Daphnia pulex: one gene and its partner. The protein of the gene in region 2 interacts with the protein of the main gene of each other region in a pairwise test. Links are inferred from orthologs where the notes say so. Each region holds a gene or a part of one and is shown on either strand. Other genes may lie near its edges. The genes, in order: uncharacterized protein LOC124191462 and serine/threonine-protein phosphatase PP1-beta catalytic subunit.

Region 1 (4,373 bases), on a different chromosome or scaffold from region 2:
GGTACTACCAAAGGAAGTGTCCTGTACGGCTAATAATGTTTTCAGATTGATTACGTATTTACATGATTCTGAAACACTGATTGATCAAGTGAAAGCTTTGCCGAGCCGATGTCGGGTAATCACGCAACTTCCGTTTGCTATTCATTTTGAAAACATTTAGGGCAACTAGTCACGAATCAGATCAAACCTATGACTCGGCTAATGACGAAGGGATCATTTTTCAGATCGCATGGCTATTATACTGTAATGCATTGAATGAACGACATGATAAAAGGATTGGTTCTGCAGGACATCTGGCAGCGTGAATCGGAACCACCAACAAGCTCGGTGCTGCCATTCGGCTTGCGGGAATTTAGCATCGAATGGCATTTTTTTTTTTACCTGGTGAGTGACGACGATCCTTTCACGGTTGCGATCCATTTCTTCGACTTGTTGGTTGAATTCGTTGATAGCTGAGCTGGGGAATATAGTGACTGGCAGATTCTCAACAGGACTTAGCATAATCTCCGAAATCGTCCTGTTTGAAGCTCCCGCTTGGGTCGGCGCCTAAAAATATTCGTGGTTCATTCGTGATAAGAAACAAAGTTCCAGAATAACCAGATGGAAAAATTATAAAAAAAAGGACAAATTAATGTAGATACAATTTTTAAAAACTGCCAGTCTCAATGGAATTGAGGGATTGATTTCATAAAAAATGTTAGTCGTTGATTAGCCCTAGCAACTAAACAAGAAGAGCATCATCTCGTGAGTGACAATCAAGCGAATTCGTGCAGGTAGTACATTGTTATGACACGGAAAGGAGAACAAAAAAGAATAGAAGTGAGAAGTGTTTAGAGGTGATGATGTGGGTAACGCAACCTTATAATGCGCATTGATTTGAAATGTAATGGCTCTGCTTTCTGACGTACTTTTTGACACATTGAACCGGAAGAAGCGACAGTTGAAGGAGCGGGGGCGGCGGCGGATGGAGCAACAACGGGGACAGCGACCGGGCGCAAGGGCAGTCCACCTCTACAGGTGCGCATTTTGTTGTTGTCGATTTGTCATCAATAATGAAACCCCCAATCGGTTAATCAAACCGACAAGTAGAGTCAAATGTATACAAAAATCAGATATTTGTATGAAAGACAAATGTTGTAAATCAAGCGAAAGGTTTGAAAAGTCTACCGCTGAACGGTGACAGTCATGGTGGTGCCGGCGTTCTTGATCAATTCGGCAGCTTCGCGATGGGTCATTGTCGAACAAGGACGGTCGTTGATTTTGGTCAAAACATCACCGCGACGCAGTTCGCTACCCACGGCCACCTGATTCACACACGACCATCAATCAATGCAAATCTCTTAACATAATATCCGCCTCGACCCCCATCATCAGCACGGTCCGTTTTAATCGTTTGCTGACCCGCTAAAGTCCCGTGACTGAATCTATTTTTAACTTCTTTTTTCCACGGCAATATCTTTTAACTGAGCCATTCTTGGAGCCATGAAAAGAACAGGGCAATTTCACCAGGAATGTCAGAGTCATTAATATGCTGAAGTGTTTATACCGAATGGCATGAAGGGGGGCCCTCTGTCTTTCAGCGACCGCTGATAGTAAAGAACACGGGCGAGGTGGCCAGCAGAATGTTGACCAACAAAAAAAGCGTGAAAAACAAAAAAAATCAAACTGGGCCAGCATGTAGAACGAGGTCAACATGACGACGGACGGACGGTATGCCATATCGTACTCTGCTGGGCGCTTCACCCAAACGAATATTTAATTTTAGGCCCGAGCTTCGGTGCCAAAAAGAGAAAGAGAGAGAGAGAACCACCGACACTCTCGACAAAAGACTCCCGTCTCATTTTGGCGAGCGCAAGTCGTGAAGCTGCAGAAACCGCGCACGACTTTGTGGGGCAACTGGCAAAAAAACAATCAGGAAATGGTCCGCTCTCTCTCTCTCTCTTCCTCTTCGCAACCCCGGCCATTTCCTTAAAATAGGAAATCAAGACCCACAGAATTTGTCACGACATTTTCTCAATAATTATCAGGGACTTTGAACGTAGTATAACAACGGGGATTGAAATTGGAAAATAGGGAAATTTCACCCTTTGAATGATGAATGCCTCTCGGATGTCGGTTCCTCCTCGGAGCCGGAAGCCGAAAGGTTCGCCGCACCCATCTCGCTGCAGGTTCACGGTCAATTCCCCAGCACTCATGACGGTCATCATTTAGATGAGAGCTCTTTGAAATTGGCTAAAATATGGGAGATGATGTATATAGTATATACGTTTCAGCTGGTTGTCGGATTTTTTTCTTTCAGCCAAATATAATACGAAGCAGTTCACGACGGGAAAAAGATTTCACGATTTGACCTAGACCTGATGGTCTCTTGAGGTAACAAGAGAAAAGACTGGCCTCAGATGAAGAAGATTCAAACTGTGTTTGTGTTCAATTCAAAATGAGAATAGAGAAAAACACTGAGGAGCTGTCGCTTAGGTGGAGAGAATAGAGGAGCGAGTGGGCGTCCGCGACTCGCAATAATACTCGACTGATGAAGGCGAAAAACCCGAAGTCTGCACTGTGCCGTGCACACAGGATCCTCCCTACTGTCTCACTACTCCCGCCGTCGCCAGGGCTAAAGCTTCGTTCTTTTCTATCCTGCTCTGCTGACGGAAATCTTTTCTCTCTTTCTTGGCAGCACCGGGAGGGCGGCAAGCTCGGCCGAACTGAACATCGTGCCAAAATGAAACAAAACACACAAACCCGACACAATTCTTAGCGATGCCAGACTCGTATACCCACCACGGGACGCAAAAGTGGCGGATAGAAAAAAGCGGAGCAACACGTCGACGATAACGTCGTCAGAGTCGCCCCAACAACGAACAACGACGACTTCAAGGGCAAACAACAACCGAGTCGTTGCCTTATGCTCAATGTTGCGGGCCAACATTGCGCAATTCGCAAAAAAGGTCGTCGCACTTTCCCACACGAGAGGATCACATGATCGCTGGTTCTAGAAAATTATTTTCTCTTGAATATCTACGCAGTTGACAAGAGCGCTATGCCCGTTGATCATTAGCGGGTATTCAGGAAGTGTTGCGCATTTGAATTCGCGTCGTTAAAAGTGTAGAAGAGTCCAAACACTCACAGGGGAAAAAGAAAAAAAAAAGAAATTCCAGGCAAACAAAATGAGTTGTACGGTCCTAAAATAGGTGCAAGCTCTTTTCTTTCTCGCAATATATAGTAGAGTTAGGTTGGCCGGCGCAGCAAACGGCGTGTCCGCTCTTATTTTTTAAAAACCGTGTCCGATGTTGTTTGTCTGGGCTGCCATTTCAAAAGGCAGAGGTCCATGACACACACACACACACACAGAGGGGCAGCTAAATTGTCGGGTTCATCAAGCTGGGAGCCCTCTCTATCTCATTAGCGTATAGGTCGCCCCGTAGCTTTTTTGGCGCGGCAGCCAAAAAGTGAAGAAGAAATTGACTCCACGTGATCGGCTGATGCCGTGCCCACGCAATATCAGCCCAAAATCTTCCCTCTATACCTACTGGTGGTGTTGACACATTTCAATCCAAACGGATTCGTCATTCAATGAATCAAAACATTGTCTCTGATCCTCTGGCGCTTTTACTATTTTCGCCCCCCTCCCGACGACATGCCATCGGGATGACTCGGTTCACGAAGCATGTCGCTGATAGCATTCCAGAACGATCGACTCAGTTCTTAAAATGATATGATTCCTTCGAGAAACTAGAAGATTTGAATTCACGAATAATCTAGAACATTCTCTTGGGATCTAGTCGCTTCTATTTTACTGATGACTGCTCGTTTATTTCACGCACTATTGCGCAGTTTGAAATCATTTTTTGTTTTTCGGGAAAAAAAACTGTCCTGTCTCGCTCTGATACCGCCCCAGCGTTGACGCCTGACTTTCTGTGTTATAGTTGTGCTTCTTCTTTGAATCCTGATGTAACCTTGGCATACATATTTCACCATCGTGGGATTCGATCTTTCTTTTGCCTCCCGTCCGAATGGAATGGCGACATTCAACGCCCGAGTGAGATAAAAATGTGTCCTCGTTGCGTTGACTCGATCAACAGCCATCGATCATCATCTTATGAATGAGCCAGCCCCCCCACCACCAAAGAAGAAATGCACAACAGGATCGCTGGATCAAGTATAGCAAAAAAAAACAACAAAAAAATCCAACAATTCCGCACACAGCGCGAGTGCGCTTGCGCGACTGATTTCCGGAATAGTTTCGCCCTTTTTCTATCCAGGAAATAGGTCACACATCATCACGGCAACGCCCGCGTGATATCGCACAAGATCACCTTTTCGGTAGCAGATATCAGGATGTAGGGCAGAGCGGACGGACCAGTCGGCAACGT
Region 2 (4,065 bases):
ATCTTCCGTCAGCGTATTAAAGCCAAACATCGCGAAGATCGACTCAAAGCCAAAGCAGAGCGTAGACTTGCCAACCGGGTAGAGAAGGAAGAAGAAGTAACGAATGTCGAAGGTGAGGAGGAGGACGAAGAGTCTGAAGGTGACGAGAGTGTCGATGGTTCAGTCGGAGAAATTATAGACGCTTTACCCGATCCCGATCGCATCTACGGCGCCAAGGAAGATGATAGCGAAGAAGAAGGTGAGGTTTACAGAGGGCCAGCTGTTGCAAAGTAAGAAATCTCCCATTTAATTTTCGTTTGTTCCAATAAAGTAATTCTGTCTTTATTTAGGAAACGCTCGCGATTGCCGAGCGAGAGTGAAGAAGATGACGACAGTGAAGATGATAGTGAAAGTGACAATGACGAAGCACCTGTCAAGCCTACCCCGATTACAAGGTACAAACATTTGGCTGAAACCAAGTTGGAATTCTATTAATTCTTTCTCATAATTAGGAAACGGCGACAACCGAGTGAAAGCGAAGAACTTCCCACACCTACAAAGACGAAACAAAAATGGATCAAGAAGAAGCCACCTAAGAAACAGAAACCAGCTAAGAACAGTAAATTTGACACTGGCCTGGATTTGGCTATGGACGAAGAGTTGGCTCTTCACATTCTTGGCTCTAAAAATTAAAGAAAGACTGCCTCGTTGTCCATATGAAATACACAGTCAGCTTAATGGATTGAGAACTTTGACATTAACGCGGCTTGTCGACTGAATCTTTTCCGACGTAATTGTAAACTGTTTCATTGCGTCATACAAGGAAAGCATGTTCAAGTTTGCTGATATCATGTTGGTTTATTTGTTTGATTTACAGAGGATATACACTAAATGAAGGGAGAAAGAGATGTGGTAAGTAACGAGGAAAAAAATGAAGACGCTGACGAAGCATGCGAAGGAGTAACGTTGTCCTCCAAATTGTGTGACGAGGGCAACAGAAATAGTAGTTGTAAGAATTTGTTAAAAAGGGGAAATTGGGCATTGATGGCTCCCACCACATTCCGGTTGAAAGGTTAAGTCGATCAAATAATTCAATAGGATTAAGCTTACAATAACTCTTACTAACTATTACTTCTTCTTGGGCACTGGTTTGTTGGCAGCTGCGTTCGGCTTCGTGGCGTTGATACCAGAATACTGGTATTTTGCTTTCTTCTCCGAGGGTTTCAAAATCTAACGAATTTGGAAAAATTTTAAATTTGAGTTACAAATATTAAACATTCAATAGAAATACCTGAAAAGAGCACATAAGTGTTTCATCAACGCTCATCATGCCGCCCGCGTTGTCAAACTCCCCGCAGTAATTTGGCGCAGAAAAGAGAGTAACCAGTTGACGTTTGGCAAAAAATTCGTAACCATCTTCTACGACCTGATGAGCTCTGCAAATCAAGTCAAGGTCATGGCGATTCAAAAATTTGCTGACAACATCAGCTCCGAAAGTGAAGGAAACGCCGCGGTCATTTTCAGACCATCCTTGCACGTCTTTATCAGGGTCGGACCACAGCAGGTCACAAAGAAGGCCTGAATGTAAAACAAATCAGCCACATATGATGTTATATATATTTCAGGTGTAAAAGCCAAGTCGAAGTTTACCAGTGTCAGGTACATCAGTCGGCCTCATAATACGTTTGATTTGGTCCATGTTTTGTAGGTCGGGACTTAAGCCGCCGTGACAACAAAATATTTTCTCGTCAATTATGGCGGCGATAGGAAGACAATTAAAACAATCGGTGAAAGTCTTCCACAGTTTAATGTTGTACCGCCGTTTGCCTAAGATAAAGCAGAATACATCACTCTAAAAAATGGCCATTTAGAAAACGATAGTTACTTACATTCATCATAAAAGCCATAAATTCTGTTGATGGATGCACATTCGTGATTTCCTCTTAATAAGAAGAAATTTTCAGGGTACTTGATTTTATAAGCAAGTAGAAGGCAAATGGTTTCCAAGGACTGTTTTCCGCGATCCACGTAATCGCCAAGAAATAAATAATTTGCTTCAGGGGGGAAACCTCCATACTCAAACAATCTTAGCAAATCTGTATACTGGCCATGAATATCACCTGAAAATACCAAACAGAAAATATAATTTACTACCTCTTTGGAAGTCCCAAGTAAAAAAAATAAGAATGAAATTTGTTAAAATTAGTGCATACCACAAATTTTCAGGGGTGCTTCTAGCTCAAGGAGTATTGGCTGTTGAAGGAAAATCTCTCTGGATTTTAAACACAAGCCCCTAACTTCAGCCTCTGTCATCTGCACAGACTTCCCAGGCCGGCATCCTCTCACTGTTACAAAACACATAAAAAAAAATGGTTAGTGATTAACAATTTGATTTACAGGTAATCACATGACAATTTCATTTTTAGGGCAAGGAACAAGGCTGTGGGTATGTGATATAAATACTCTAATCAAGTTGTATAGAACCTTAAATTATTACCATTGAATGAGACCATTTAGTTTCATTTAAATATAAATAAGAAGATGGGGAAATATTGGTTTCAAGAATTTGTTTAGCGTCACAAAATTGCCAACGTAATCATTATTTTCGAAATTGAAAATTGAAGCCCTTTGCAGTTCTACACCAAAAAAGTAGTCTAAGAAGCTATTGAACGCATAAAAGATGTATCAATGAGACCACTTAGTTCCTAGCTTTCAGACTGCTCTATTAGTTTTAATCAAAATTTTTAATTCATAATGACTTACCTTCTAACAATCGAGAAATAATACTGTCAACATTAAGGTCGTCCGCCATCATCGAAAAGTCAGACGGGATTAAAATAGTTGTGCAGCACCATCTGGATGTAAACACCTGAACTTGAGACATGGCTTTCGTCTGCTAGGGAAACTAGGGCTCGCGTTGCAAGCGTTGGCCTTCGGCTAAGTGACAGAGCTATCTTGGAAGAATTTTGGAATTAGGCAGTCTTGTTCTTGTGCTTCATTTTCTTGTCGTTATTTTTTATTTTACTCTGTAATTTTTTATTTTATTGTACTCTGTATACTCTTCTACTTTTTTAAAACACTGACCATAAAAAAAAAAAAAGAACGACGTTGCATTTATAAATTTTCATTTCGACAAAAATAAACAAATAAGGAAGAAGGACAAATTAACATTTTTAGCGGAAGTAAAATAAGCTTTTTGTCTGGGAATTCCAAACCTGGTCGGTATATACCTCATTTCTCGAAGTTTGGTGATACTTGATGAATACACTTTTCTGCCGTGTAATCAACCTCAGCTTCGGTGGTGAATCGCCCAATTCCAAATCGAATAGAAGAATGCGCCAAATCTTCTTCAGCGCCAATGGTCCGCAAAATATATGAAAGTTCCAGCAATGCTGAGGTGCAAGTACTTCCGCTTGAGAGTGCCACGTCTTACGTAATAAAAAGAATTAGTTAAAATGAAAGGTAGTGGAAGTTGCCTTTATATAAAGTTACCTTTCAGGGCCATGAAAAGACTTTCTCCCTCGACGTAGGCGAAAGAAAGGTTTACACAACCTGGGTAGGAGTGTTCAGGATCTCAATTTCGTACGACATGTGTTAAACTATTACCAATCTGATCGATCAAGCGTTGCGATAGTTTACTAATCTGGCATGATTATACTAAAACATGGTTTTGATCAATTAGTTATGTATGGATACTACTATGACATGAACTAAAACCTTAAGTTCTTGCTGAGCTACTTCACATGCTGCGCCAAAACCAACTGTCACTCTGTCAGTGGAGTAGGAACTGTTCCACCACGTATCCCTCATTCCTGACCACCTCCACTTTGCAGAGCTTCAATCCTAACCCGTGGTCGGCCTATCACGTAAAGAGCACCAACACCTTTTGTTCAAGTTCAAGAAAAGAATGATGCGAAAAAAGAGTGAATTACATCGAAATAACAATCATATATTAAATTGTAAAATACCTTTATAAATCAATTGACATCGATTCAACATCAATTGGAATTTTACCTAGAGCTTGGGCTCCATCACAGTGGAAAAACACTTTAGCTTTTCGACACATAGCATCTAATGATGAAAAAA

The links.
Region 1: the proteins of serine/threonine-protein phosphatase PP1-beta catalytic subunit (region 2) and uncharacterized protein LOC124191462 interact in a two-hybrid assay, tested with the Drosophila melanogaster proteins (2 studies listed by BioGRID). The link is inferred for Daphnia pulex from reciprocal best matches to the Drosophila melanogaster genes flw and Zasp66.

Annotation. Positions count from the first base shown.
Region 1 is NC_060019.1:9,912,097-9,916,469, reverse strand, and holds the start of uncharacterized protein LOC124191462, read right to left. Parts: upstream 2,859-4,373; 5' UTR 2,208-2,858; coding exon 2,085-2,207; intron 1,305-2,084; coding exon 1,168-1,304; intron 1,012-1,167; coding exon 909-1,011; intron 547-908; coding exon 382-546; intron 30-381; coding exon 1-29.
Region 2 is NC_060021.1:5,451,936-5,456,000, forward strand, and holds serine/threonine-protein phosphatase PP1-beta catalytic subunit, read right to left. Parts: upstream 2,882-4,065; 5' UTR 2,864-2,881; coding exon 2,743-2,863; intron 2,680-2,742; exon of another isoform or gene 2,493-2,679; coding exon of another isoform or gene 2,477-2,492; intron 2,325-2,476; coding exon 2,193-2,324; intron 2,100-2,192; coding exon 1,869-2,099; intron 1,807-1,868; coding exon 1,630-1,806; intron 1,558-1,629; coding exon 1,271-1,557; intron 1,210-1,270; coding exon 1,108-1,209; 3' UTR 818-1,107; downstream 1-817. Other genes in the region: probable ATP-dependent RNA helicase DDX10, read left to right, coding at 1-269, 330-434, 492-672. UniProt on the Drosophila melanogaster protein: Required for cell adhesion in non-muscle tissues and in maintenance of muscle attachment. Vital for larval development.